7 linked regions of the Mus musculus genome follow. The protein of the gene in region 4 interacts with the protein of the main gene of each other region in a pairwise test. Links are inferred from orthologs where the notes say so. Each region holds a gene or a part of one and is shown on either strand. Other genes may lie near its edges.

Region 1 (4,140 bases), on a different chromosome or scaffold from region 4:
CTTTTTTTTTTTCATCATGTCTTTAACGTGTGTGTGTGTGTGTGATTTCTCTCTTGTGTGTGTGTGTTGTGTATGTGTGTGTTTGATTTTTGGCTGACTCCAGTTCTCTGGAGCAGGAGTCGAAGGCAGTTGTGGGCCATTTGACATGGGTGCTGGGAACTAAGCATCTGTCCTTTGCAAGATCAAGACACCCTTGTAACCACTGAACCATCTCCACAGCCGCTGTGCCTGAATTACATGTGCACTGGGCGAGCACAGTCTCCTCAGACCCCTCTGGCTTTTTGAGACAAAGATTTGTTGGTAGCTCAGGCTGTCCTTGAACTCACTACAGAGCCCCCACTGACCTGGAAATCAAATTCCTCCTGTCTCAAGCTCCGGTGCACAGGATCACAGGCATGTGTCATCATGCCCAGTTGGCTTTATTACCTTATGAACTGGCTGCTGATTACTCTGCCTTAAGTCCTGCACTCCAGGCCTGCCAGGAGCTAGGGAAGGTCTTCAGACAGCACAGCTCCTGTCCTGGCTGCAGTCAGCCTGGCACAATTAACAGCTGAGGATCAGCACCTGACACACTGGACACATGCTGCTGTATTAACTCAAAGAGCTCCTTCTATTCCCCAAACTCCATGTAGGATCAGCTTGGTGTTCTGGGCTACAAGTGTGTATGAGAGGGAGGTAGGAGACAGGATAGCAGAGCACCTAGGCACTAGGGAGGCAGAGGCAGGAGGCTCTCTCTGAGTTTCAGGATAGTCATTGAGACCTTACCTCAAAAATAAAGCAAAATAACACTAATAGAAAGAATGAAATAGCTGGGCGGTAGTGGTGCACACCTTTAATCCCAGCACTTGGGAGGCAGAGGCAAGCGGATTTCTGAGTTTGAGGCCAGCCTGGTCTACAAAAGTGAGTTCCAGGACAGCCAGAGCTACACAGAGAAACCCTGTCTCGAAAAGCCAAAAAAAAAAAAGGGGCTGGAGAGATGGCTCAGTGGGTAAGAGCACCCGACTGCTCTTCTGAAGGTTTGGAGTTCAAATCCCAGCAACCACATGGTGGCTCACAACCATCCGTAACAAGATCTGACTCCCTCTTCTGGATTGTCTGAAGACAGCTACAGTGTACTTACATATAATAAATAAATGAATCTTTAAAAATATTTAAAAAAAAAAAAGGTGTGATGCTTTAAAAAAAAAAAAGAATGAAATAGACTGGTTTAGAACATCTCAAAACTTTTGAGTAGAGTTTACTTTGTCCCCTTAGGTCCCAAGGCCAGAGCCTTGGGCTGAGGGAAAAAAAGGGCATATGTGTGATCTGGATCCCATGGTCTTGGCTGTTCTGGGTCTGGGCAGCTGGCTGCAGGTGTGTCCACTGCAGTGATAGGTAAGGCTGGGAAGTACATCTGAAGGAGCACCTAAGTGCCACAGACATGGGTATCATGGTCCAGGAGCCAGCACCACTGTGGGAAGACCCAACCAAACCTGCCTCTATCCAGGATGGACCCGGGTCCCTGGTGTTCTGCTGGCCAGCCAGCTAGAAGTGGAGGGCCTGGCCTGTCTACCCAACTATAACCTCTCCTGACTTATATTTGGGTCCCAGCTACGTAGCACAGTTATCAAATAAAAGGGAAAGTCACAACTGGGTGTTTAAATGCCTACGCCTTCAATCCCAGCACCCATGAAGCAGAGGCAGATGGATCTCTGGGTTTGAGACCAGCCTATTCTACAGAGGGAGTCCCAGAACAGCAAAGGCTACACAGAGAGAAACCCTGTCTCAAAAACAAGTGGGAGTGGGTGGGATTGGAGGCGGGGTGGGGGTGGGGGGTAGACTCACTACTTCCAGATTACTCCCTCAGAGGTCAGATCTACCTTGTAAAACAACCAGAATTCTCTGGGCTGGAGAAGACAGAGGGCAGAGCCAGTGGAGAGAAGAGGAGGGAGCCTCAGAGGGGAGGGAGGAGAGAGTGTAGGGCAAGGACTTAAGGGGAAAGGTGTGGCTTCAGAAGACACTAAGGAGGCAGAGGCTAGCAAAGGCTCCTGGGTAAAATCTGGGAGGTGATAGGCAGAGCTTCAGAGTGGAGGAGCTGGACATCTAAAGCAAGTTGGGTGACAGACAGAAAGGGCTAATAGTGGGGTATTGGGGAATAGTGGTTTGGGGAAGATGTGCTTGCTTGTAAGACAGGCTGAGGAGGCATCTGGCTGGGGGGAGGGGCCACCTGATCCTTCGGAAAATGCTGTCCAGATCCCGTTTCATGTCCACCAAGGTGCGGGTATGGTGCATGAAGCGCTCACTCATCTGTTGCAGCCGCACACTGGACAGATTGTTGAAGTTCAGAAGCATCTCGTTGGTTTTCTCGAAGCGGTCCAGCCTAGGGGGAGAGGGCAAGGGCCTTTGCATCAGGCCTAGGAGCCCCCTCAGCCCGAGCTAATCCCTGAGAGTCACAGCCTCTGCATTTAATTACAGAGCCAAGGCCTCAAGAATTCTATCTACTGTTCAGATCACCCAACTCCTGCTCAGCTGAAAGCCCTATTCAGAGGTACTCTTTGTTGCAGCCTGACTCCTTCACGGAGTTCTTTAGCATGCATTAGTTCTGACAGGATGCTGCCTGGTCTGGGAGCTACTTCATGTTCTAAACAGACCTTAAATGGCCTCTAGAGAAGCACTATGATTATAGGCTTGTGCCACTACATCCAGTCACAAAGCTGACATGTGTTTATTTATTAGCTGACCTTTTTGTTTGTTTGTTTTGAGACAGGATTTCTCTGTGTAGTCCTGGCTGTCCTGGAACTCACTTTGTAGACCAGGTTGGCCTCAAACTGAGAAATCTGCCTGCCTCTGCCTCCCGAGTGCTGGGATTAAAGGTGTGCGCCACCACGCCTGGCTAGCTGACCTTTTATAAGATTTTTTTTTTTTTTTTTTGAGTCAGTATCTCACTATGTAGCCTTGACTGGCTTGGAGCTCATGAATGAAGGAGTTAAAGCTGTGCGCCACTGCACCAGACCCAGACTTATTTTCTATTCTGTACTTGGCCTGTGTTCCTCTGTGGAACATGTATATATAGTGCTTACAGACGCCAGAAGGTGTGGGACCCAGGGAACATGAGTCACAGTTGTGAGCCGCCTTTCTCAGAATCACTCACTCCTCAAGCTGACTGCTCCTTGTTACACTGTGTAAACCCCAAGTCAATCCCAAGGGCCAGGACAGTTCCCGTTTGATTTTGTCACTGTTAGTCTGGGAGTTTACGTGACCATATCCGAACCTAACCTAAAGAACCAGGAGAGAATCCTGGCCATGGTGACAAAACCTAAAAAAACAAAACAAAACCCCCAAACAGGAAATAATGAAGTAAATAATCTGAGGCAGAGAGCCCTAGAAGACTGCCGCATCTGGCTGAAGGCTGTGTTATGAACATGGAGCTAGCTACTAGAACGGACTTGGAGCATCTGCATGCTTAGCAAACACCACCAAGTCACCTTCAAAAGCTAAATTCAGGGTGAAGCTGTCCCAGCAAGGGAATGAAGCATCCTGAACAAGGCTCCCTGCATACCCAAACTGGGCTCTGGGTGCCAATGCCAAAAGCTAGCCCAGAAGAGCCTCTGAGTATTCCTGTCTCTCCAGCCCTCCCAGCCCTGGCCTGGGGACAGAACCACTTGGCCCTGTCATGCACAGCTCCAAGATCTGATCCCATGCCAAGATTAGAGCCTGGAGCTCGTTTTCTTTACCACATCCTGGGCAGGGCTTGGGGGAGATAGTAGGACCCTTCCCATGCCTCCCATGGCCTGCTCACATATTCTTCTGGGCCAGGATTATGGCATTGACATCATCAGTGTTCACCATGCTGAGGAAGCGGCCACAGAAGACCCTTGAGGCTGAGTCTGGGGTGTCCATCTCTTTCTCCTCCGCCTCCAATGCCTGAAATGAGCAGAACAATGTGAGGTCAGCACGAGACAGGTGATGTCAAGAACTCATCATGTCCCCTAACACATCACCCCAGCTGGAAATATGGGGTGTTTGGGAGCCTAGCAGGAACACATCCCAATAAAACATAAGCCTGGAGGGCAGAACATGGTAGCACACTTGTTGATTCCAACATTGAAGAAGCTAAGGCAGGAGGACGGAGACTTAAGCTACCTGGGGGCTGAAATTTTC
Region 2 (4,140 bases), on a different chromosome or scaffold from region 4:
ACTGTCCTGGGGGGGTAAAATAAACAAAACTTCAACAGCCCAACAGTTAATGTGACATAATATTTGAAAATTCTAACAGTTCAAAATAAGAGTAATTTAGTAGGACAGCATTTGCCTTACTGTTCAAAAACTCAGCTCTGATCTCTAGTACATCAAAAAAGAAAAAGGAGATTATCAATGAGAGAGAGAGAGAGCAGTATCATAAAAAAAAAGGCACAACGTGTTTGATGGTAGACTAATCTGCAATTAGATGTTAACAAATTATATAGTCTATAGCAAAAACAAAATCATGCACAAATATTCTGAAATTGCTAGAGAAAAGCACTCTAGTTGGCACATGGTAGATGAAAAGAAAATTCCATAATCATGTTACACTATGATGACCGCATCACTCTTCACCTTATACAGCACTATAAAAACTACATAAGGCCACGCTGTTGAGGTAGAGCTCCCTGGTAAACTTCATGCAGTCCACATTGCACAGTACTGAAATATCATCACCACTGGCATGTGTAGATATCCACAGAATAACAGTCATAGTTCTGAATGTACCACACAAAACAGCATGGCAATGACAACTAGAAAGCTGGGAAATAAGCAACTGTATTGTAACGATGTTTCTTAAAATACCTGACAGCAAATAACGGAACTGTCACAACGCGGCAGAGCTGGGGAGTGAGCACTTACATTATTCACTAAACGGCTCTGACTGCATGAAACACTGCCACAATAAAATTTAGTTTGAGACAATAAATATAAAATGCATTAAAATTTACTTTATGATGGTGATTATCAGTTGGTTCTTTGACTATGTGCTGATATAGATTCTTCTTTGGGGCTCCATTTGTGTTTAGAAGTAGAGGCCTGTAAATAAGAATTGTAATATTTAATTTCACCCCAAAAATGAAAGAATAAAAGGTTTCTACTAATTTACTCATATACTTCCTTCAATAGTGAATGAAAGCTCTCAATAAGTATACAATAGAAATTCTTTAGAACTATTCAACTCCATACAAAGTATACCTAGCTTTTAAAACAGTAGTATCACAGAATAAAAGGCAATAGAATTAAAGCCACAGACTTAGATGTATAAACTGTCAAAATCTTAGCCTTATAGCTCACCTTTTCCTCCTTCCATCTATGCCTTTGTCAATTATTCTTCTAGTTCAGATATGACAATGTCACCAATAGCTAACATATTTATATGCATTACCACCTATCATTAGGATTTTAAATTATCAAGTCTACTAAATTTAAAGTAAACCAAATATCTGATTCTCTCCTTCCTCACAACATTATTTTTAAAGAGTTCTCCTCACTGGGGCCTTTTAATGCTACTTTAAACTGGTAACATGAATGAAAACTCAGTAACTTCTGCAAGGCTACTAAAAGTGACCACCTGGCCTAGCTTACAAACATAAGCAGGAAGCAGAGAGTGCAGTGCTATCTGCAACCCCAGCACCCAGGAGGCAGACTAGGAGCTGGTGAGTTTGAGGCGACTTCCAGGTATCTAGGTAAGGCCCTATAACAGGGGAGGGGGGTGGGGGAGATGACAATAGATCATCACAAGGATGACAATGAGAAGACAAACAGGGTGCATATATCCAAAATGTGTAACCTTATTATGATGATACTGCACAAATGGAAAATTCACTCATACTTATGTGATGGGCCATGGTGAACTAAGGGCCTATGAGATGAAAATCTTCTGAGCCCTTTTAGCTATATGACTAAACTACCTTATGTACAAAATTATTAAAGATATTATATGTAATTACTTTCAGACTGCATGCACACAAAACACAAACATTTGAACTCAGACATAAATTTCATCACTGGTGATTCATAGGCTTGTAAATATCCCCCCAAATTCTCAAATATTTCTACTATCCTAAGTATTGTGGAAAGGGATCCTCACCCTGTTAAGACTATTCTTGAAATGCTAACATAATTTAACAAGGGAAAGCTGTTCTTTGGTACCAGGCATACACTCAGCAAATAGGTATTCATGATTCAACACTTAAATGTTTGTAAGCCAAAACTCAAAAAACTTACCTTTTACGTTTTAAACTCACAAGTTGATTATTCTGAACCAATGTAACAATAAACTGGACAATCTGAGAGGAAAATGTAAATAAAATTCTTTCATCAAAGACTGTGTAAATTTTTAAAAAAGACTTTGCAAATTATATTAAATTACATTAGTTACAACCCAGCTGTCTGCCTTCAAGCAGTGTGCTCAATAAATGCCTCTAAAACACACACATATAATGCTAAGTCATTATATTTCCCACAATCTTAACATATGAGATTTGTTTTTCCAGGAAGACAGCACTGTGAAGCAAAAAAGACAAACTGTTGTACGACAACCATTTTCTAACAAAGGTAATATAATTAGAAGCAAAAGGAATTACTAACTCAGAACAGATCATACAATTCAGGCTTCAAAGAGTATACTGGCCAGTTTTATCATCCATGCAAGCTTACCCAAGCTACAGACATAGTAAATTTTAAATATCTGCTAAACTTAGAGGAAACTTTATTAAACAAATAGACCTAACCAACTACTCTTATTTTATAGGCTTGTTTCTTTATGTAAGACACATGGCTGGCTACGCCGATCCAGTGTCTTCTTAGACGTTTAATCCTCAACCTCACTACAAAACTGCTCCATCTGAATTCTGATGGCGTCCAGCAATGTATGTGTTAACTAGGTGGTTAGGAAGCTTCTAGGTAGCCTGTGAGAGCCACTGCAGCTTCCACTATGACTTGAAACTGTATTGTCAGCTTCCTACCATAGATGCCAAGTACAAGTGAAGCCTGTGAGTAATAATGACCAAAGTGTTCTGGTGTCTGAAGAAGGCCAAAGTAGTTGGAGGACCGTTCAGACTCTGTAGAGTTTCATATGCTTTATGAAATGCAATTACATGATTAAAATAGAATATATCAAGCCAGGCATGGTGGCACACACCTTTAATCCCAGCACTCAGGAGGCAGAGGCAGGCGGATTTCTGAGTTTGAGGCCAGCCTGGTCTACAGAGTGAGTTCCAGGACAGCCAGGGCTATACAGAGAAAGCCTGTCTCCAAAAACCAAAAAAAAAAAAAAAAAAAAAAAAATCAACTAAGTATTATATTATACATCAAATTCAAACTTCAAAGTTGAACAGGAAAAGTGCTGGCTAAAAACTGAAGTCCTGTTGTAAGTTCATCAATTAACTTTGTTTTTTGAAAAAAGAAAGTGCAGATGAAGTAGTTCATATTCAACCAAAATGCTGTCTTATGAAAAATAGTAACAGAGTCTTTTCATCAAGTACAAAATTAAGAACAGCTGTTACTTTAATGCATTAGAACTTCGTACAGAAGTTAAACAAACAAATACTTGAAACACTGGGAAATGAATTCAATAATATTTAACCTTAATGTTACTTTACATCATAACACAGGTTACCGTTTTGATCATAGGCCACATGCGACAACTGCTCTTCATGTCTGCCTAAGGCTGGCTCACTACACTCAAACCCTGTCAGTCATCAGCTTATTTTTAGCTCAAGTGACTTTTCAGCAAGAACAAGACTCATCACTCCCCCACCCCCACCCCTCCAAAGAACCTGTTGCTATGAGCCTCGTTTACTCATAAGCAAAAAATAGATCCCTCTATTGCTCTCCTGTTTCTTTACTTACTGACAAATGGAAGTTGGAACATAAAGATGAAATGACAAGGACACAATGCCAGGGGCAGGTTCTAGGGCCTCCTTTGATACAGCTCAGTATGCTGAATTTATTTACTACTTTACTGTAACTACGTATAGACTATGCCTGTTACATCATACACTGAGAAAAGCACCGCTGAACTCCTAGGTGGGCCACATGACTTAAAAATTAACTTTACCTATCAGAGTAAAAAGCAACAGGAAAAAGTCCACAGAACAGTCGAACGCAAACACAGAATACAAACAAGCAAATGCAGAGCACAGGGCAGGCTGGAAGCTTCTTACCTTCCGAATAACTTGTTGCTGCTGGGCATGCTTTGCTCTTAGTTCTGACACCTCCTTCCAAAGGGATTCATTCTCACTGTAGTAACATTAATTTAAAAACCAAAACAAAAAAGATTGGGTCAGAAGATCAAACCTCAATAGTTTT
Region 3 (4,906 bases), on a different chromosome or scaffold from region 4:
CTCCGGAGGCAGAGACAGGTGGATCTCTGAGTTCGAGGCCAGCCTGGTCTACAAAGTGAGTTCCAGGACAGCCAGGGCTATGCAGAGAAACCCCGTTATGAAAAGATTTTTGGTTATGTCCAATAATTAAGCAAAAACCAAATACTCTACCGGGCAGTGGTGGAGCACACCTTTAATCCCAGCACTTGGGAGTCAGAGGCAGGTGGATTTCTGAGTTCAAGGCCAGCCTGGTCTACAGAGTGAGTTCCAGAACAGCCAGGGCTACACAGAGAAACCCTGTCTCCAAAAAAAAAAAAAAAAACAAAAACAAAAAACACTTTGACAACTAAGTTCCAATTTTCTCTAGCCTTACTGAACTCATATACATAAATTATATATATATATATAATATTTTTTTTGTTTTGGTTTTTTTTTTTTTTTTTTTTTTTTTTTTTTTTTGGTTTTTCGAGACAGGGTTTCTCTGTATAGCCCTGGCTGTCCTGGAACTCACTTTGTAGACCAGACTGGCCTCGAACTCAGAAATCCACCTGCCTCTGCCTCCCGAGTGCTAGGATTAAAGGCGTGCACCACCATGCCCAGCCATAAATTATATAAATTTTAAACAACTTTTTTCAAACTTTACACAAACTGGAATACTATGGGCAAATTCCCAGGGCCACAACCTCTTTGTGGCCACAACAAAACAGAAAGCCAAAACTGGTCCGAGATACAGACCACAATATAAAGGCTAAGTCTATCCAGGAAAACAGTAATAGTGGTCTACTTCCTCCTTAGATAATTTCTCTTCCTGGTACAAGAGCAGGAGGATGATTACCAAACATCCCGCGTCCCCTGATCTTTCAGTCCCTGGGAGCTACAACAGAACTTGCAAAGAGCCTGCCCAGAGGAGCTTGGGGAGGTGAGACCGAGGCAGTAAACTTACCCAAGCCTTTGCACCGGAGTTGTGCTGGGAAGAGCAGCCGGGGGAGGGTCACTGATGATAATCGAAAGAAAGCAGCCCAGGGAGGGTCACTTATGAGACTAGATTGCCAGAAAGCAGCCGGGGCTCCCGCCTGGCTTCCGGCGACCCCGCGCCCCGGGCAGGTCCTGACACCTCCCTGGGTATCAGCTGCTCGGGGCGCAGGGTGGATGCCCGGGATCTCCAAGCGGCGTCGAGGGGTGGTCACCTCGGTGGGCTTGCCTCGGGCCGCACCAGGGGAGGGTACCGGGACCCAGGGCACAAAAGCACGGCCACTCCAGTCGCCGCTTCACCCCTCTGGCGGGAGCTGCCCGGGCGGGAAGCGGACGCCGCTCGGAAAGCCGCTGCGACTGTCTCAGATCGTCGCCGGTGGCTGATGGCACACACCCCTCGCTGCCGACCCCCACACACCCCTCTCACACCCTTCCGCGAGCGGAGTGAGACGTCTGCTCCTCTAGCTGCCTCCTGGTCTCTGCCTCAGGACCGCGGAGCACTCAAACACCGCTGGGCCCGCCCAGTCCACACAGCGCGCGCCCGGGCACGCAAATTCACTCGCCCAGGGCCCGCCGCCGCGGCCGCGCGCGCGCGCCCCGCCCGGCGCGTGACCGCAAGCCCTGGTTGAGCGTTCTCGCATGCGCGGTGGGGTGGGGCTAAGCCGCGGGCTCGCGCCCAGCTAGACGTGGCACTCTCGGCCCCGCCCCCTCTACGCGCCTCTCCGCAACCTGCGCGCACCCGCGAGCTTGGGTCTCCCGCAGACTCAGTCGGGTAGCGGAATCCAGAGGCGGGGCCAGCCGCTTGAGGGCGGGGCACAGCCTTGGTGGGCGTGGCCTTCCGAAGCTGCTCTGCAGCCACGTCCCACGGCCCCCCTCCAAAGCCATCCTGGCTTCAAGATCTTCAGGGATCCAGACATGTCCGAAGTGAAGAGCCGAAAGAAGCCGGGGCCCAAAGTGGCTGCTCCTGAGCCCGAGAAGCGGAGTGATGGCAGGAAAAACCCCGAGGCGCGGGGGGACGCGGGCTGGGCGGACCCCCGCACTGGGCTCAGCCTGCTGTCTCTGGCGATGACCCTGGGCCTGGCCTGGTAAGTGTGCGATGCTGCAGGCCGTGGGTCGGGCCTCGCGTGGGCGCCTAGCACCTCGAGCCAACCCACTCTCGCTTGAATACGCTCTTTTAACAATGTTCTGGTAGCATGCTCCTGTCGCTGCCCTCTAAAGTCTGGGAACATGTCACCCAGGACTCGGCCCACACTTTATTAAGCATCTACTACTGCACGTCACAAGTTTGCACATACCTAAAAACCACTACTTCCCGTCCACTCTGTAGCTTTGCGGATGAGTTTGCTCCACCCTCCACCAAAAATCGCACTCTTAAAATGTCTGCAGCCTAATAAAAAAAAGTTCGTTGTTGCTGAGCGATAAATGCTAATGAGACTTTCTCCTATTTAGAGCTGTGTGCCTACATTAAAACTATAGTCCTTTTTTAAAGATTTATTCTTGTTTATGTGTATGAGTGTCAGTGTATTTGTGCACGTGTGTGCAGGTGCGCGAGGATCCCGCAAGAGAGTGTCAAATCCAAGAAGCTGGAGTTACCAATGGTTGTAAGACACCAGACATGCATGTTCTTAACAGCTATAAAAGACTATATAGTCTTACTCCTAAATTACAAGTTGAACTGTATGTAACATTGTAAAGAATATGTTTTCCCTTAAGACTAAACATTCGTGTTTTCTTATTGTTGTTGTTTTAGTTTTTTGATACAGGGTTTCTCTGTGTAGCCCTGGCTGTCCTTGAACTCACTTTGTAGGCCAGGCTGGCCTGGAACTCAGAGATCTGCCTGCCTCCACCTCCCTAGTACTGGTGTTAAAGGCATGTACTACCACAACCTGGCTGTATGACACATACAACCCAGCTATATACATGTATTTTTACACTTTATTTGCAGTAGTGGGGGCACCGCCATCCCGCTCAACATTTGTAGCTTTGAAACCAAGCATATATTAGTGATATATTAGTGTAAATGTGGAATAAGAGAGCTAATAGAATTCAGAAAAGACTCTGGATATCCTCCAGGGTAGAGTAGTTTTGATGCAGGTTTATTTCCAGCTTAGTTTATTGGTGACACCCTGAGTCCTTGAGTTTTTTGTTTTTTTTTTTTTTTGGGGGGGGGGGTCTATGGTTGAGTGGTTGGTTTGGTTTTTTGAGAAAGGCTCTTAGGTAGCCTAGGTTAGATTAGAACTCACTATATAGCCGAAGGTGACATTGAACCCCTGATCTTCCTGCCTTCACCTCCCAAGTGCTAGGATTATACTAGGCATTTGTACTGGGTAATGCTTGAGTACTGGGTTTTGTTATAAGTTAATAAAAACGTGTTCAACTGAAATACAGATCATTGTCCTCTTTAAAAAGAACTTTATTTAATGATAGTGTTAGTATTTGAAGAATATATTAATTCTGATCTAAATGTGTTGGATTTGCTGTTTTAAATAAACTATGCATACCTTAAAATGCATGCCTTTTTAGGTAAATGGGGACATGGTACATTTTGTATTGGGAAAGAATATTACTGAGTTATTGTTAGTTCTCTGTAGGGCAGTGTTTCTCACCCTGTGGGTTGAGACCCCCACAGGGGTAACATATCAGATATTTATATTGTGATGCATAATGGTAGCAAAATTACAGCTTTGAAATAGCAATGAAAATAATTTTATGGTTGAGGCTCACCACAACATGAGGAACTGTATTAAAGGGCCACAACTTTAGGAAGGCTGAGAACCACTGCACCAGGGCTTAATACAAGTGGTTTTAGTTGCTAAATTTATTCCTCTAGTTCCCGTTAATTAGACAAAGCCTCATAATCCACTAAGAAACTATGTCATAGAATGTTCAGCTTTTTTGATAATTCAAGTTCAAAAAATGATTCCGTTGAGTCAGCAAGATGGTACATTTGATAAAAGCATTTGCTCTGCAAAGCCAAAGGACAGCCTGAATTCTATCCCCAGCATTCACACAATGGAAAAAGAGAACTGAATCCCCAGAGTTGTCCTCTGACCTCCATACATGCACAGTGGAACACCTGTGACCACACACAGAGAGACAAATAAAAATAGTAATGAGGTGGAGGGCAATTGAGAAAGACAACCAGCTTCAGTCTCTGACTTACACACACACACACACACACACCACAACACACACACCACAACACATACACACACCTTAAAAAGTTGTGCTTCATCTTAGGGATTTAACATTAAGGGTTAAATTAAAGACAAAACATGTTAGTTACACTGATTAGAAAGGTTATTTATAAGCTGAGCTTTGTCTCTCCAAAGTGATTTTTTAAATGTCAAATCAAAATTATAAAGCAAGAGTGTAAATCTGTATCCAAAACTTTATCTATTTACGTTCATTAAGAAAAACTAATAGTGCCGGGTGGTGGCGGCAGCGGCGAACGCTTTTAATCCCAGCACTCGGGAGGCAGAGGCAGGCAGATTTCTGAGTTCGAGGCCAGCCTGTTCTACAGAGTGAGTTCCAGGACAGCCAAGGCTATACAGAGAAACCCTGTCTCGAAAAAAGCAAACAAACAAAAAAACAGAAACAAAACCTAATAGTGATATATTATTTTAAAATAACATACAGTTAATATATTTGGAGTTATTTAAAATTTATATTGAGAAATGTATGTATTTTCAGTATTGCTGTAGACAAACATCTACATAAGACTGTTCCATTGTTGTCTTATAATCAAACAACTTTTATAATAATCATTTTTATTGTTACAATATTTTATGAATTTTAAAGAATATGATAAAAATCGAAAAGTATTGCAGGTTTAGAAGGGAGGCTCTTTGGGAGGAGTTGGGGTACAAAGGGAAAGAAGAATGTGATGTAAGTCTTATTTACTCAAAATATGTTTGTTTTTTTTTTTTTTTGAGACAGGGTTTCTCTGTGTAGT
Region 4 (4,140 bases):
TCTGCCTCCTGCGTGCCACAATTGAAGGTGTGTGTCAATACACCCGGCTTTGTTGGCCCTTATAGGTTCTGGGATTTGAATTGAGTCCAGAAGAGAAAAAATGATACTGTGTGGATAAGGAACTGAATTTTAGAATGCTCTGCAGGGCTGAGGGTACCACCCCTTTGTTAGAGTGCTTGTCGGACATGCACAAAACCCTGGGTTCTATCCCTCACACAGCATAAATTGGACATTGTGGAACATACCTGTAATCTCAACACTTGGGAGGTACTCCATGGCACGTTCAAGCCAGCGTGGGCTACGTGAGGTTAGTTCACATGAGCAAAACATTTCCTGTTTAACCAATGGGAGTTCTTAGCTAGGGAAGGAGGAAACTGATTAGTAATCATGTAGTTAGATCTTTAGCATTTAAAGCAAGACAGGCTCTATCTTACCTACACGACTGGCTTCTTCATAGTAGTCAGGTCTAGCCTTCTGTTACAGTTGGTTTTCTCACCAGAAGTTGATTTGTTTTCCATTTCCCATTGATTGAAGGCTGAAGCTGAGGTGGCCTCCTTGAACCGCAGGATCCAGCTGGTTGAAGAGGAGCTGGACCGTGCGCAGGAGCGCCTTGCCACTGCTTTGCAGAAGCTGGAGGAAGCAGAGAAGGCTGCTGATGAGAGTGAGAGGTGTGTGAATCCCAAAAGAATAGGCCGGCGGGGCTTCTGGGTGGAGCAGCCCTCTCCTGCCTGGCCTGAGGTGTCCTGGGTTCCATCCCTGGCACTGCAGACAGTAAAGCTGATAGTGGCTCTGACCTGGATTTTCCACTAGACCTGTTTTTTGTTTTGTTTGTGTTTTTTGTTTGAGGCATGGTCTCATGTAACCCAGACTGGCTTTGAACTCTTGAGCCTCCCGCCTCCACTCTTTGGGTTTGTTTTTGTTTGTTTGTTTGGTTTTGGTTTTGGTTTTTTGAGACAGGGTTTCTCTGTGTAGCCCTGGCTGTCCTGGAACTCACTTTGTAGACCAGGCTGGCCTCGAACTCAGAAATCCGCCTGCCTCTGCCGCCTGAGTGCTGGGATTAAAGGTGTGCGCCACCATGCTGGGCTTCGCCTCCACTTTTTAATTGCTGGGATTGCAGGCCTGTTCCACCGTATCCTGGTCTAGACCTGCTTTTGTTTTTGCAGATTGAACACAGTATCTACCTTCTGTGCTAAGCACATCCTCTACCACTGACTTACCCTCCCAGCCCCTGAGACCTACTTTTTAAATGGTAGTGATTTTATATTACTAGTATTATTTTATACTATGCAAATTGAACTCGGGCCTTGCAAATACCAGGCACCTGTTCTATTGTTAAATCCCATTCCCTGGCCCAAATTTGTTTGTTTTATAAGGAAAAGTTTTCAGTTAAATGGTACAGGTGCTGGAATGCTATGGAATTTCTGTTTGGGCAGCGGAACAGGAATGGGACTGGGAAGGGCGTGGTTTTGAGTGTTTGAAATGGAGTTGATGCCCAGCTCAGAATGTCATTGCTGTGTTCATTCTTTCATTCTGTTTCCGGCAGAGGTATGAAGGTGATTGAAAATCGGGCTCTAAAAGATGAAGAAAAGATGGAACTCCAGGAAATCCAGCTAAAGGAAGCAAAGCACATTGCAGAAGAGGCCGATAGGAAGTATGAAGAGGTGAGTTGCCTCTGCAGTGCGTGCGGGCCCTGCAAAGACAGTCAAGAGGGGATAGCTATCGCCCTGGCTTGATTGAGCCGTACTGGGGTCTTTTCTTCTAGGTGGCTCGTAAGTTGGTGATTATTGAAGGAGACTTGGAACGCACGGAGGAACGTGCTGAGCTGGCAGAGTCGTGAGTATTTTGTCTCCAGATCTTGTCAGCTCATCCTGCCTGCTTGGGCACTAATTCCGAGTAAACTAGCCTTCCTTTGACCTTGTTAAACAGGCCCTGGAGGGTGGTGGTCCTCTGTAGTGCTTTTAGCCTCCAAGAATGGCTTTGGGCTTTCTCTTACCTTGACTAGAAACAGGGAACAAAGCTTGCTTATTCTTGGGAAGATTCTCAAATAGAGGGACCATAGAGACTAATATGGCCACTGGCTAGTTGGAAGATCCTATTGGGTCCTTCCTCCTGGAATCTATTCCTCCTTGGCCTGTACCGATTTCGGGCCTGGTCTCTTTTTTTTTTTTTTTTTTTTTTTTTTTACAAACTTTGCCAATCTGCCTGGAAACTTGAGAGCAAAGGCTTTAGAGAAATCACCTGCTGCCTTGGTACCAGCTTGGCCTTGTGTAACAAAGTCAGCGTGGATGTGTATGTGTTGTGCTTGCCTCGCACACTCCCCGTCCTCTTCAGACATGACATATATCATGACCATGGCGGTGTTTCCTTTCCATCTGTTTGTTGTTTTGACCCACCCCACACCCCGTCTTGCGGCTTGTTTTCTTGCTCTTCCTTTTTTAACCTTTTCCCCACAACCTGGCTTGTGCCATTCCCGTGACTGTCACTAACAGCCGTTGCCGAGAGATGGATGAACAGATCAGACTGATGGACCAGAACCTGAAGTGTCTGAGTGCTGCTGAAGAAAAGGTACTAACCCTGAAGCCCGCGCACGGAGAGCTTCCTTCCGTGTGTGTGGTATGGTCTCCTTCGGTTTGGTTTTGTTTTGCAGCTGCCTCCCTCCACCAGTTGATTTGTTGAGTGCGTTCTCATCTCCATGGAATGCTCCATTCTTCCTTTCCACTTACTTGGCATCTCTCATCTCTTCTTTCCTAGTTGCTTCACTGCCTCCCCCTGAGGGTCTCTGCCTCCCCTGGGTGTTTGGGGGTTGTTAGGTTGGGCCTCTGTCCCTGTATCCACCCCCCAAGTAGCAGTCATAACTGTTCCCTGGTAGTGAGTGATTTCTCTCAAGTGTTCTTTCTTTATCAGAGCCAAACACTCCGAGCACAGGAGGGCCAGCTCCTAGCATACCTACCTGCTCCGTGCTAGGGGGAGGAGGGTTGATACCTGCTCAGGTTACCCAGCAGCTTTTCCTCCCTGATATACAGCCCAGCTCTCTCTACACATAGGCTCAATTCACATCTGTGTGTCTCTCTCCCCTTTTTTTTTCTTCCTCTTCCTCTTCCCCTTTTCCTCTCCTTTGGTATTAAAATGTTCACAGTAAGTGTTCTGAGCTGGAGGAGGAGCTGAAGAATGTCACCAACAACCTCAAGTCTCTTGAGGCTCAGGCGGAGAAGGTAGGGCTGGTTTGTGAAGATGCACAGGCTTTGGGGCTTGGGCCCAGCCCTGCCCTTAATGAAACAAGACATACCCATTCTGTATAATAATAATGAAAGACATACCCATTCTGTATAATAAATCGAGGGAAAAGCGAGCGTTCTCTTCCTTCCCACCTTTGTCTATCAGAGAGTAGGTTAATGCTAACTCCTCTGTACCCCCCCCCCCCCATCTCGGGTTTAAATAACTCTGGTCTGCGGTGCTCCTGGAGTGTGCTCCTTGAGTTGATACTGCCGTGCTCAAAATCAGTTATAAGGAGCATAAGATGGGGCAACAGAGCGCCAGCTCTCGAGACCTGTCTAGGAGCAGTCAGGGCAGATGATTGCCACTTACCATCATGAGGGATGCTTTAACTGTCGATTCCTGCTCGTTAACTTGGAGAAAGGAAAAGCACTTTGGGTTGACAGAAGTAGGATGAAAATTTAGGTCTGTTAACAAAAGAAAAAAAAAGGTCCTGGTGAAGTTTACACTGCAAGTTTTGTTTGCAGATAGTTGGGTCTTAGGACTCTTGCTTTTTTTAGTCCTGGACCAAATCAAATCCAGAAGAATGTCTATGACTTATGTGAGAATAATATGGCTGTTGTCTGTGAGATGGTCTCTACTCTGAAATTTGTATTCTACTTTTCTTTACAGTACTCTCAAAAAGAAGACAAGTATGAAGAAGAAATAAAGATTCTTACTGATAAACTCAAGGAGGTGAGCTGAGGGGCTGAGCCGCATGAACGATAGGAGGCGTTAATATTGTAATATTAATCCTGAGCCTTGCTGGCCTTGGCTCAAATGGCTTAGAGGCACGAGAGGAGGAAGTAACCATCTTTCATTCTGTTTGTTGTTGTGCTTCCTCAGGCAGAGACCCGTGCTGAGTTTGCTGAAAGATCGGTAGCCAAG
Region 5 (3,335 bases), on a different chromosome or scaffold from region 4:
CTGCTACACTCCCACATTGTAGCTCAGACAAAGGGATTCCTTGTGTCTCAACTTCAGGCAAGCATCCTTGTGACCAAATTGTGGAAGGCTGGCCAGAATGAGGGAATAGTAAGCAAGCACAGGGGTAGAGATGACAAGATCATCCCACTATCCAAGAGTGTCTCCAGAATAAGGAGACCTTCACTCTCCTTATTCCCAAGCAACAGAGGCATAAGAGACATAAAAATGCAGAGGTCTAGCTGGGCGGTAGTGGCACACACTTAACCCCAGCACTCAGGAGGCTGAGGTAGCCAGATCTGTGAGTTCGAGGCTATCCTGATGTACAGACTGAGTTTCAGGACAGCCTGAGATACACAGAAAAACCCTGTCACCAAAAACAAACAAACAAAAAACCCAAGAGGCCTAAAAAGGAAAATGTGAATGTGTGAAGAAACTCAGACTAAACTCCTAGACGACAGATCTGGAGGCAGGAATCAGGGATGAGGGCAGCCCAGGGCCAGACAAGAGTCTGCAGTAAAGTAAGCCAAACAGATTGGGGAGCCTAAGTGGAGGCCTCTGAGTTTGTTACTAAGAGTACATCCTTACAGCCCTGGACAGGGATGTAGCCATAGTAGTGAAATCCTTGGGTACAACATGAAAACACCATGTTTGAAAAGTAAGAACTTGAGAAAAGCAGCACACACATTTCCCAGGAAAAGCGGTATGTTCCCTATCACAGGAGGCAGCGGCAGGGACATTAAGTGCCACACCCACCAGGACTGGTACAGAGGAAGCACTTCATGTATCATGACAGGCAATGAAGTCACTCAGCAGGCATGAAAGGATTGGTCTCCCAACTCCAAAGGCATCTAGGAGGGCCAGTCCATGGAGGCTTGCGCATCTGACAGGGTCAATCTCCACCGTTCTGTAAGAGGCATCCTGGCTCCTAGGCTTTGGATGGGGTGATTATCCCCCATCTCTTCTTCAGTGATCTCCTAGAGGCCCTACGTTCCATAAAATTCACCTCACTGGGGAGGGGCATGGAGATACCCTTACAACAGGAGCCACAGGCTAGGCCTCTAGAGTCAATATCTCTATGGAAATAGCTCTAGGGACCCAATAATTGAGGGATAAATGCAGAGGCTCCCCAGGAACCAGAGAGATAAGCCAGGCTTCCATGGTAACGGATTGTAATACAGCCTCTGTCTAGTTAGTTGGAGGTGGAGGAAAAATTGAGGGAGACTTGGGCCAAAAGTTGAAAGAGCCACAAAGTACAAATGGGTAGGAAAGTTTTTACAAGAAGGTCACATCATCCTGGCACTGTCCCCAGTACCAATGAGCTTCAAAGCCCTGGTTAGCATTGCCATCCTCTGATGGCTCAGGTGGTCCACACTGGAGCCCATCCCCCGGGAGCTTCCATGTGGCTGTTAAGCTCCCTAGCTTAGTGGATGTCATGTCCACCTCAGTCCTGGCCCTGTCCTCAGTGGGGATAACCTTTGCCCAGTCAATCTCAGGACAGGAAGGCCCAGGGAGTCCTTGTTCATCCAGCTCTCTGGGGGTCACAGTGTCCAAGAAGCTGCCAATAGAGACACTGTCCAGCCGGTCAGTTGAACTGGTGTCTGGCAGGCTGTCCCAACTGCCCCGCCTTGAGCGTCCTGGGCTTCCCCCTGTCAGACTGTACTGACTGCTGGTGAGACTGCTGCAATGGCTCGTCAGTGTACCCCGCTCCTCCAGCAGCCAGCGCACTGCCTCAATACCCTCGTTCAAGGTCACCAGCTGCTGCAGGATCTTCACATCGATAGCTCGCAGGTAAGCCTGAGGAAGTGAGAAAAGAGATTAGTTCCGTTTCAAGCTGAGTTCCCCAGGTGTTTCCCGAATCTTGCAGTTCAGCCAGCTACACTTCACTTTTAAAAGCACGGAAAGAGATTGGGGGTGGGAGGGTTAGAGCAAAGAGACTCCTGTTTAAATTTTCAGATCAAGCTAGGCTGGAGATCAACTTGCCACCTTAGCATGTCTGAAATCCTGGGTTCCATCATGCCTTGCACCAGACAAAAAAGCAACTTCCCAACCAGGCAGTGGTGCATGCCTTAATCCCAGCACTCGAGAGCAAAGGCAGTCGGATCTCTGAGTTTGGGGCAAGCCTGGTCTACAGAGCTTACACAGAGAAACCCTAGCTCAAAAAACAAAGCAAAACAAAAAAACCCACCAACAACAAAACAACTTTCCTATTGATTAGCTACACGATTCTAAGTAGCTATTCTATTTTCTTTGAGCCTCAGTTTCCTTGATTGAAAAACAAGGCTAGCCCGGTAGTGACGGATTTAATCCCAGAGGCAGGAGGATTTCTGAGTTTGAGGCCAGCCTGGTCTACAAAGTGAGCTCCAGGACAACCAGAGCTACACAGAGAAACCCTGTCTCAAAAAATAAATAAATAAAAACTAAAAAAGAAAGAAAAGGAAAAACAGGCTAAATCATTCACTTTACAGCATGAAAGCAAGGATTTTGAAATGCTATCAGGTGTGCACTTTCTACAGGGGAGGCTTTGTAGGTGTTAAATATTAAAATATGAGGCTAGGGGGGTTGGATGTAGCTCAGTGGGAGGAACACTTGCCTAGCATGCACTAGGCCCTGGATTCTGTCCCTAGCACTGGATAAACTAAGGTGGTGATGCACACTTGTAATCCAGGCACTCTGGAGGTGGAAGGAAGAGGATCAGAAGTTCAAGGCCATTCTCAGCTATGTTGGCAGTTCAAGACCAGCCGGAGCTTCATGAAACCCTGTTTTAAAATTAATGAAATAAAATAATAAAATAAAACAAGATTTAAAAAAAATATGGTTCATGCATATAACTTTAGCACTTAAGAAACTGAGGAAACACTTGAGAGGCAGAGGCAGGAAGATCAAGGCCAGCCTAGTCTACAAAGTGAGTTACAGGTTAGCTATGACTACATAGTAACACACTGTCTCAAAAATCAAACAAGCAAACAGGCTGAGGTGGGAATCAAGAGTTTGAGGCCAGGGGCTTAAGAGATGGCTCAACAGTTAAGTGCTGGTGCTTCTCATGAGAACTGGAGTTTGGTTCCTGCCCTGAGAATTTTGGTTGCTTTTAAAAAACTGAACTAGGGGGCTGGAGAGATGGCTCAGTGATTAAGAGCACCGACTACTCTTCCTGAAGTACTGAGTTCAATTCCCAGCAACCACATGATGGCTCACAACCATCTGTAATGAGTTCTGATGTCCTCTTCTAGCATGTAGGTGTACATGCAGATACAGCACATGGACACATACACACAAATCCAAAATCCATTCTGACTGGGTGTGGTAGTTTGAAGAGGAATGCCCCCCCACACACTCAT
Region 6 (4,704 bases), on a different chromosome or scaffold from region 4:
CTGTGATCAAATATCCTGCATCAGTGAAGTTACAGAGAGCAGATATTCCCAGGGAAAGGAGCCTGAGAATGATCAGGATAGAAATGCCCACTCCCACCCCAGCAGGGGGGAGGACAAGGCTGGGACCTGCATGACAGGTGCATAGTAGCCAGAAGAGGCTATGTAGCTGAGCTGGAGACAGGCAGCAACAGCTCACCATGGGCTTTCTGAAAGAACAGTCAGTGGACAGAGAAGGGCAAACCGAAGGCTCTGTTCAGATCGGGGACTGGGATGGGCCAGGGAAGGAGTCAAGTAAGTGAGGTGGGGACTTACACGCTGACTCACGGGGCTCACATGCGCTGCACTGGCAGGACTGCTGCCCTCCCATGGGCATGGAGGCCAAGCAAAGGGAGAGCAGGGCTCTCACAAGACGCCTGGATAAGGACAATGAGCAGCATCCAGCTGTCAGACTGAAGCCAGGAGCTAGAGAACTGAAAAACTGCAGAGTGCAGACACTCAGGAAATAGGTGTACTGAGGTCCTTGAGAGGCATGCAGTGACAGATGGCATCTAGTCAGGCAGAAAGGCAGAGGACATGGCTGGGATTCTGTGACCCTGGTTGGGTCTCTTCTCGGTTTGGGATCATGGAATCTATGTGGGATGTCTGTAACTTTAATGTCTGTGGGTTACCTGGTGTGGGGCTGGGGAAGTGGCTTAGTGGATAAAGATGCTTCCCACAAACCCTGCTGACCTGAGTTTGAGTCCCATGACTCCCAAGGAGGGAGGAAAGAAATGATTCCCACACTGTGACACCTGACACCCTGGGATTCAGACACATGAGGACAACAAAAGCAGACACATCCAGACTAGGCAACATTCTAGCCTTTAACCCACAAACGATTGCCTGGTCCCCCTAGAACAGAGGACTCTGGGACAGGTCCAAAATATTCTGGTAAGTCTAGATAAGTAGACCCAGACTTGCCAGCAACTAACAATACCGCCCTGGGTTCAGAAGCCACGATGGTGGTAGGCAGGGGACCCCAAGCCTCTTCAGTCTTCTATTGAGAGTTGAGTAACCCCATAACCTTTCTCTTGGAGGTCACCTGAGCTGTCCTACAACTTCCAGTTAGAGTCAGCCCAGGGGACAGTGAGTGAACCAGTGGGGCTGTATGGAAGGAGTCTGCACTGCCTCAGTAGCTGTCTAAACTCCTTCACAACCCACTGGGGACAGAATGGAGAGGCTGAATATATGTCACGCCAGGTTAGACTGAAAGACCAGGTAAGGTGTTGGAGAGAGTCTGCAGCAAAGAAGTTGTCTTAGTCAGGGTTTCTATTCCTGCACAAAACATCATGACCAAGAAGCAAGTTGGGGAGGAAAGGGTTTATTCAGCTTACACCTCCAAACATGTGTTCATCACTAAAGGAAGTCAGGACTGGAACTCAAGCAGGTCAGGAAGCAGGAGCTGATGCAGAGGCCATGGAGGGAATGTGACTTACTGGCTTGCTTCCCCTGGCTTGCTCAGCTTGCTTTCTTATAGAACCCAAGACCACCAGTCCAGTATGGCACTACCCACAACGGGCCCTCCCCCCTTGGTCACTAATTGAGAAAATGCCCCACAGTGGATCTCACAGAGGCATTTCCTCACCTGAAGCTCCTTTCTCTGTGATAACTCCAGCTGTGTTAAGCTGACACACAAAACCAGCCAGTACAGGAGTCTAAGCATTTCTCAGTTGGAGAAAGGTCCTTGAGAAGAGGAATGTATGTGAGGGGCTGAGGCAAGATCACAAGTCATGGGCCAGCCTGGGTTATACAAAAACCTAAAAATACAGCTAGACCCAATCTCAAAACGGGTGTGTGTGGGGGGGGGGGGTAACTTTGCAGAAATTTCTTCTGAATTTCCCACTTACAAGAACCGTGGTGTGCACCCCAATTACACATATGACAAAGCGAAGCTAGTGGCCAGGTGGACAACAGGCACAGTGGGAGAAGTGGGCCTTTGCTCACCAAGACACACTTTCTGTCCTCCCTCTTCGGACCAACACAAGAACTCTGCCATTAACACACAAGAATGAAGGGCTGCGGTTTCAGAAGCCACGACACCACACAGGTAACTAAAGCGCCACCTCAAGTTGTACCCTCTCCACAAGAACCCTGAACTTCCAGACAGCAGACTTTCCAGGACACCAGCTGCTCTGGATGGCTCCTGAGTTAACAGGGACACACACACCTTCTTTCTGGTTTCAGCCAAGGGACAGCCTGAGAACCTAGCACTTGGTGACACAGGTCTGTCATCCCAGGTACTCAGAAGGCTGAGACAAATTCAAGGGCTGGTGGCAAGTTCAAGATCAGCCCGGAAAACTTGGGAAGCCCCATCACAGAATAAAAATTAAGAAGAAAAAGTAAGGATTGGGCTGAGGAGGCAGCAGAGTAGGTGACTGCTTAGCGTACTGCTCTGCGAGAATGGGGACTGAAAACAACTCAATCTGTAAAGGCACTTTAGGGCAAGACAAGACAAGCAAGGTTCCATCTTTAGGACCCATATGGAAGAAGAAGAGAATTAAGTTATCCTCCAACCTCGACAGGAAGCCTGGTATATATATGCAAACACACACAAATCAATTAATTAGCCGATTAATTAATTTTTAAAAGGACTGGGGACATAGCTCAGTGGTAGAATGCATAAGTTCCTTGGTCAATCAACAGTACTGCCAAAAACAAACAGACAGACAGACAGACAGACAGACACACACACACACACACACACACACACAGTGGGCCTGACATGCGACTCAGCGCTCACCGGGGCTTGCCACCAAGACTGGTCAACCTGAGTTCGATCCCTGGGACCTACAAAATAACCGACTCCAACCCCGGGAGCCCTTCAGCCCACAGTGGGCCACGCTGTCCCCTCCGCCCCCGCCCCCGTCCCGGTCCCGGTCCAGGCCCGCCACCCCAGGCTCTGCAGCGGGACACCGGGGTGGGAGACCGTCCAGAGCGGCCCCGGGAGGGAGACACGGGGGACCCGGCAAAGGGAAGGCGCGCGACAGGACCGACTCAGAATGCATGCGTGTCGATGGCAGCAGACAGCTCCCTCCCGTGGCCTCGTTACGGTCGGGCAGGGCGCGAGGCGCCTGGGGCGCTCGCAGATCCCGCCACCGGGTCCCTTACCTCAGTTGAGGAGCCCGGTGCTGCAGCAGCCGCTCAGATCTCCCTCCTCTCCGCCGGTGTCTATATATCGCGAGACTTCCGCCGGGGTCTCGCGAGATCTGAGAAAACGGCCCGTAAAGAATTAAATATGTGCTCCACGGGCGTAGCCTGAGAACAAACCGCAGTCCCGCCAGGGGACCCGGAACCAAACTGGGCCCGGCTGCCTGTCCCGCAGGGCGCTCTTCCACTGCCCCGGGGTGCGCCGTAATGTATGGAATAGCACCGCGCAGGAGGAAAGGTTTGTTTGTTTTTGTTTTTGAGACAATGTTTCTCTGTGTAGCCTCGAACTCACAAAGATCCACCCGTGCCTGCCTCTGCCTCCCTGGAATTAAAGGCTTGCCGCACAACTGCTGGGCACGCTCGGAAAGGGAACAAAGTTTTGGAAAGTTGCGTTGCCTCTGAATCTTGCCACTTTGTATACACAGGTTGTTTTGTTTGGGCACTGTTTTGATTGGTTAGCTTGTTTCACTTTCTTTCTTTTGTGAATGAGAAGTCCTGGGAAGAAGTCCTTCACGTTGCGGGTCCAGAGCCTGATGAAATTTGTCTAGGGGCTATGTCTTTAGCCTCCTTCCTACCCGTTGCTTTCCTGCCTCTGCGTCAGCTCTAACGTGTTGTGACTAATGAATAAAAACCTCTTGGAATAAATTAAAACCCGGTTTCTACCAACCAAAATCCCCCGGACAGCATCAGAAGCATATAGCTGGTATTTCTCTTTGGTGTAACTGCCTACTTAAATCTTCCAACAGGCCGGTTTTTTATGTTTTATTATTTTATTTTGTGTATGGGTGTTTCATGTGCATGCATGATGTCCATAGAGACCAGATGAGGTCAGCAGAGCCTCTGGAACGGGAGTTAGATGTCTGTGAGCCAACATGTGTGTGCTGAGCACTGAACCTGGTGATCTTAACCTGAGCCATTTCTCTGGCCCACCACCAATGGCTTGGTTTGCTTTGGTTGTTTGGTTGTTTTTGTTTTGGGTTTTTTAAATAATTTTATTTATTGATATTAATAAATAATATTAATAAATAATAAACAATTTATTTATTTAATACATTTGAGTACACTATAGCTGTCTTCAGACACTCCAGAAGAGGGAGTCAGACCTCATTACGGATGGTTGTGAGCCACCATGTGGTTGCTGGGATTTGAACTCAGGACCTTTGGAAGAGCAGTCAGTACTCTTAACGGCTGAGCCATCTCTCTAGCCCCTTGTTTGGGGTTTTTTTAAGACAGGGTTTCCCTGTGTAGCCCTGGCTGTCCTGGAACTCAAGGCTAGCCTCAAACTTACAGAGACCCACCTGCCTCTGCCCGCCTCCCAAGTGCTAAGAATAAAGGAGTGTACCACCTGGCCCCCACCAATGTATTTTTAAGGTGCCCTGACTCATGACTTTGTTCTGTTACTATAAAAACTTCCTCATTGCTTCCAGACTGGAATGTGGAATATAGGGTAACCTAAGTCTGTATTTATGGGACATAGTCATTCATTTTTGGCTTGAATAAACAATCCCTCCAGTTGGT
Region 7 (4,140 bases), on a different chromosome or scaffold from region 4:
GGCCAGTAGTTAAGACCACTACAACTCTTGCAAAGGACAGATTTGTTTTCCAGCACTCATATGGTGTCTCACAACTATTAGTGAGCCCAATTCTAGGAGATCTGATGCCATGTGGGCACCAGGCACATGTGTGGTACATATACATATATGCAAGCAAAACACTCATACACATAAAATAAAAATAGATGCTTCTGAACATAAGTTTTAATTTTAAAGAAAATTTGGTGTTTTGTATGTATGTATGTATGTATGTATGTATGCAATGTGCATGCTCACACATACCATGTAATGACGTCAGAGGGTAGCTTAAGTTCTCTCCTTCTATGTGGGTTCCAGGGATCAAACTCAGGTTGTCAGGCTTGGTAGAAAGTACCTTTACCCATGGAACCATCTCACTGTTCCTTAAATTTTAGTTTTTGAACTAAAAGGGAGTCATGATGATTCAAAGTTATAGTAGCATGAGAGTGAACAGAAGAAGGCAATATGTCTTCCCAAAGCACCGTCCCAGGTCTCCTTTGACTTCACAGCAGTCTGTTAGATCCAGAGGTTTTACCCATAACCTCTTCCACTTTACATCCTGCCACCTTCTACTTGATCATATGTATCCTGTTTCCTTCTCATTTCCTCCTCAGGGCACCCACTGCTTTACCCAGAGAGCCTGAGGGCCTGCCTTCCTTGATGGAAGCCCCCCAAGACACTTTCCCATATCTGAGAAGCACTTTTTGACCTTTGCCTATGGACCTCTCCCCTTGCTTCATTTCTCTTGACTGAAGTTCCTACAGCTTGGCTCAGTATCTCTATCGGTCTGTTCCTTGTCCCCACAATCCTAGATTGAGACCGTAATGTAGCACCTGTACACGTGAGATGCTTAGGAGATTTCTGTAAAGTAAAAGCTGTAGAATCCCAGGTTAGACACACTCTATCAATAATGAGCTTCCTTTTTGCTTTGCAGTGGGAAGCCTAGAGCCCCGGATTGAGGTCCTGATTAACCGTATTAATGAGGTTCAGCAAGGTGAGCTCAGTGATTGGCTGCCATCCAGGACCAGCTACAAGTTTTAACTGGCCAGGCCCAATAAAAAGTGGAAATACAGGGGTCCTTGTTAAAGTCTCTGTAGTTATTTCATGAGAGCATAAGTGCAGGGCCCTTCTGCCTGTAACCGCCATAGTCATTTGCCTGTGAACACAGCCCTGCTGCCACCCGAGCCTAGCAAGAAGGGCCAGGATTTAGAAAGCCTTGTTTCCTGCTTTGTAAAATCTGGGCCCCCTCTAAGTTTTCTTTGGGGGGAGAGTGTGAAATCTCCTCATTTGTCCTTGAGGCTGTACTTACCAAATGTCTGTCCTCCTCTTTGGTAAAGCAAAAAAGAAAGCCAGTGAGGAGCTTGGAGAGGCCCAGACTGTCTGGGACAACCTGCAGAAGGAACTGGACTTACGTAAGTTAACTGAGAGTCACTAGAGGTTTCTATGATGTCTTAGACTTCTAATGCAGTCCTGCAAACACCCGGGCCATGACTTCTCCTCCAACCTCATTTCTTCTAGCAGTCCCATCTTCTAACAGGAGGGCTGTGGAAATGCCTTTGAGGCCTGTTCTGCCCTGAGTCCTTTGCAGAGATGATCCTCCATGTATTGCCCTAGATAATACAAGTTATTGCCTCACACCAGCAGCTGTATATTATTAGAAATGTCTTTCTTAGTCATCTTGCATTACCTGATCACATAGCCCTTTTGATTGGTGTTGTTTTTCCTGGTCCCAGTGGTTGTTGTACATGGACATGGATATCTTTTGTGAAAATTAGGGCACATTGTGTTTACAGGAATGTGGATACCCGTAGGGGTAGGAACTTACCTCAAGGAAACTGCATCTGGGTTAGGGTCACAGTTATACTTGCCTCTCGTATGACTGCCCTTGACGTTTCTGTGTTTGGTCTCTAATGCCTGAACCTTCATCATCTTTTCTAGTACGTGAAGAGAAAGTACGTCTGAAGGATATTTTGAACAGAAAGGAAGGTATTCCCATATTACCCATTTCTAGGCTTTGTGATACCCTATCTAAGCCCACTCTCTCTAGTAGCTAGAAACTTAAGAACTCCCAACCTTGTGACATTCCTATGGCTTTTACCAGACCCAGAAAATGTCAAAATCCAATCAAGTGTCCACAGACTTGATGTGATATGTTTTTTTCTATTTGCCAAATTAGATGCCTTAGCAAGCACTCAGAGGGCACTGTTGTTATCCTTACAGAGACCCTGAGGATTATGCAGCTGCACTGCCAGGAGAAGGAAAGTGAGGCACAGAGGTAAGATGCCATGCCTGCAGTGGTTTCCCTAAGTGTTCCTGTTACCTCCCACACCATCTGCTCTGCTAGACACAGGCTTGAATACAGAGGAACAGAATAGAAGCCCCCAGCCCTCCCTCCAGGAGAGTCATTCAAAGAACATGGCTGAGTGTTGGTTTCTTTCCCAGGAAGCACAGCATGTTGCAGGAGTGTAAAGAGAGAATTTCTTTCCTGAACTCCCAGATCGACAAAGAGAAGGCCAAACTAAGAAAACTGAGGTAAACCTCAAGGTGTGAGGCTTGGGCTGGGGACGTGATATAGGTATAGTAATGCCCGGGATGGCCAGCCATAGTCCTGGATGGTCAAGGGGTGAAGCTATTCCTTGTGTAAGAGTGGACACGAAGTCCTTGGGTGCTATATAGACTCAGACCTTGGCCTAGCTCTGTGGTAGTTCATGGCCATCATGGCTCTGTGGTTGCCTCCTAGGTTGGATTTTGAAGAACATCTGGAGACTTTGATGAGTCAACATAAGGACACCTTGGAATTTCATGTGAGTCATACAACACTATGCTACCTATTATACTTTGTCCCTGTGCAAGCATTGGTTGGTGGTCCTGCTGTCATCGTAAATCCAGTCCCTGGTGACCACTCTTGAGATACTTGGTGTCTTCAGTATTGGTCCTTACCATTCACTCATGTTGCTGTGTCCATTCAGTGTTCTCTATGTCAGTGAGGAGGCCAGGAGGAGAGAAGAGAGGAAGAAACGCTAATACCTAAGTCTTCAGAGTGTCTCAGGATTGTAGGATTGCAGATTTTAGGGTTTCGAATACTTGCCCTAGAACCTCATTACAGGGTTAAAGGTCCGAGGAGAGGGAATGACGAGATCCATAAACCATAGCTGGCACACACCAAGGGGCAGGGTCCTCGGAAGTGAAACTTACTGAGAGGAGAAATGATGAGATGTAGACAGGCTTCTCTGAAGCTCAGGGGAGCCAGGAGATCTGGACATATCTTCTTGTTTGTGCCCCCCCACCCCAGAAGCCTGAACATCTGACAAAGGAGATGTGTGTTTTGGACAGCAGCAAGGAGCAGCTGCTCAAGGAAGGTGAGGTCAGGGCCAGAAGGGTGGCTCTCAGCTGCACCAACCTGCCCTTACCTTCTTATTACTCTTTCTCTCTGTAGAGAAACTGATGAAAGTAAAGCTGGAGGATGTGAGACAGCGGCTGTGTGCCCTGGGCGGGCCTGAGGGTTCTTCCAGCCTCATTGAGGGACTCTTCCTCCGAAGCCATGAGGCAGCTGCAGCAATGTAAGATGCAGGGTGGGGCAGGAGGAGGAAATGTCTAGCACTGACTTCTTTCCACACTATCAGGCAGATGTTCAAGGATGAGAACAAGAAAGCTGAGGAGTTCCTAGAGGCTGCAGCTCAGCAGCACGAGCAGCTGCAGCAGAGGTGCCACCAGCTACAGCAGAAACGGCAGAGGTAGGCACGGAGCTCCTGTGTCCTCATTTCTCCCAGGAAGGTGAATGGCAGCTGTTTCCCCTGTTCTGCCGGTATGTCTCTTCATATTTTCTTGATTTTTCTGCTTTCATTCTCGTCCTTCACGCTTCCCGGACAGGCTGAAGGAAGAACTGGAAAAGCATGGGGTACAGATCCTTGCTCATAGTACGCAAAACGAAGAAGACAGCTCATGGAGGATGGTAAATCCGGGAACAGAAGGGAAAGGAAAAAAGTGGTATTCTCCAGAGTATAGTCTGTGGAAAGGGCATTCCTCTGAGGAGGCACAGCTGAGGCAGAGGTGTAAACTCATGGTAGCATGGGCACAGAAAGGTAGAAAGGGGTGGTAGGAGCAGGGAAAAATGCCTGGGCC

The links.
Region 1: the proteins of Tpm3 (region 4) and Kxd1 interact in binary tests that used the Homo sapiens proteins (3 or more experiments, as listed by UniProt). The two-hybrid records come from large-scale screens. The link is inferred for Mus musculus from reciprocal best matches to the Homo sapiens genes TPM3 and KXD1.
Region 2: the proteins of Tpm3 (region 4) and Hsf2 interact in binary tests that used the Homo sapiens proteins (3 or more experiments, as listed by UniProt). The two-hybrid records come from large-scale screens. The link is inferred for Mus musculus from reciprocal best matches to the Homo sapiens genes TPM3 and HSF2.
Region 3: the proteins of Tpm3 (region 4) and Ikbip interact in a two-hybrid assay, tested with the Homo sapiens proteins (2 studies listed by BioGRID). The two-hybrid records come from large-scale screens. The link is inferred for Mus musculus from reciprocal best matches to the Homo sapiens genes TPM3 and IKBIP.
Region 5: the proteins of Tpm3 (region 4) and Lurap1 interact in binary tests that used the Homo sapiens proteins (3 or more experiments, as listed by UniProt). The two-hybrid records come from large-scale screens. The link is inferred for Mus musculus from reciprocal best matches to the Homo sapiens genes TPM3 and LURAP1.
Region 6: the proteins of Tpm3 (region 4) and Mad1l1 interact in binary tests that used the Homo sapiens proteins (3 or more experiments, as listed by UniProt). The two-hybrid records come from large-scale screens. The link is inferred for Mus musculus from reciprocal best matches to the Homo sapiens genes TPM3 and MAD1L1.
Region 7: the proteins of Tpm3 (region 4) and Syce1 interact in binary tests that used the Homo sapiens proteins (3 or more experiments, as listed by UniProt). The two-hybrid records come from large-scale screens. The link is inferred for Mus musculus from reciprocal best matches to the Homo sapiens genes TPM3 and SYCE1.

The regions. Positions count from the first base shown.
Region 1 is NC_000074.6:70,516,159-70,520,298, forward strand, and holds part of Kxd1 (kxDL motif-containing protein 1), read right to left. Parts: intron 3,904-4,140; 5' UTR 3,880-3,903; coding exon 3,779-3,879; intron 2,360-3,778; coding exon 2,207-2,359; intron 1-2,206.
Region 2 is NC_000076.6:57,499,347-57,503,486, reverse strand, and holds part of Hsf2 (heat shock factor protein 2), read right to left. Parts: intron 4,072-4,140; coding exon 3,996-4,071; intron 2,118-3,995; coding exon 2,056-2,117; intron 865-2,055; coding exon 777-864; intron 1-776. UniProt on the Homo sapiens protein: DNA-binding protein that specifically binds heat shock promoter elements (HSE) and activates transcription. In higher eukaryotes, HSF is unable to bind to the HSE unless the cells are heat shocked.
Region 3 is NC_000076.6:91,081,261-91,086,166, forward strand, and holds the start of Ikbip (inhibitor of nuclear factor kappa-B kinase-interacting protein), read left to right. Parts: upstream 1-1,778; 5' UTR 1,779-1,866; coding exon 1,867-2,036; intron 2,037-4,906. UniProt on the Homo sapiens protein: Target of p53/TP53 with pro-apoptotic function.
Region 4 is NC_000069.6:90,085,912-90,090,051, forward strand, and holds part of Tpm3 (tropomyosin alpha-3 chain), read left to right. Parts: intron 1-534; coding exon 535-668; intron 669-1,543; coding exon 1,544-1,661; intron 1,662-1,762; coding exon 1,763-1,833; intron 1,834-2,489; coding exon of another isoform or gene 2,490-2,565; intron 2,566-3,136; coding exon 3,137-3,212; intron 3,213-3,885; coding exon 3,886-3,948; intron 3,949-4,098; coding exon 4,099-4,140. UniProt on the Homo sapiens protein: Binds to actin filaments in muscle and non-muscle cells. Plays a central role, in association with the troponin complex, in the calcium dependent regulation of vertebrate striated muscle contraction.
Region 5 is NC_000070.6:116,136,041-116,139,375, forward strand, and holds the end of Lurap1 (leucine rich adaptor protein 1), read right to left. Parts: intron 2,802-3,335; exon of another isoform or gene 2,666-2,801; intron 1,795-2,665; coding exon 1,273-1,794; 3' UTR 688-1,272; downstream 1-687. UniProt on the Homo sapiens protein: Acts as an activator of the canonical NF-kappa-B pathway and drive the production of pro-inflammatory cytokines. Promotes the antigen (Ag)-presenting and priming function of dendritic cells via the canonical NF-kappa-B pathway.
Region 6 is NC_000071.6:140,318,360-140,323,063, forward strand, and holds the start of Mad1l1 (mitotic spindle assembly checkpoint protein MAD1), read right to left. Parts: upstream 3,194-4,704; 5' UTR 3,148-3,193; intron 1-3,147. UniProt on the Homo sapiens protein: Component of the spindle-assembly checkpoint that prevents the onset of anaphase until all chromosomes are properly aligned at the metaphase plate.
Region 7 is NC_000073.6:140,777,747-140,781,886, reverse strand, and holds part of Syce1 (synaptonemal complex central element protein 1), read left to right. Parts: intron 1-952; coding exon 953-1,012; intron 1,013-1,355; coding exon 1,356-1,430; intron 1,431-1,956; coding exon 1,957-2,004; intron 2,005-2,238; coding exon 2,239-2,293; intron 2,294-2,460; coding exon 2,461-2,550; intron 2,551-2,758; coding exon 2,759-2,822; intron 2,823-3,310; coding exon 3,311-3,377; intron 3,378-3,454; coding exon 3,455-3,578; intron 3,579-3,641; coding exon 3,642-3,752; intron 3,753-3,888; coding exon 3,889-3,970; intron 3,971-4,140. UniProt on the Homo sapiens protein: Major component of the transverse central element of synaptonemal complexes (SCS), formed between homologous chromosomes during meiotic prophase. Requires SYCP1 in order to be incorporated into the central element.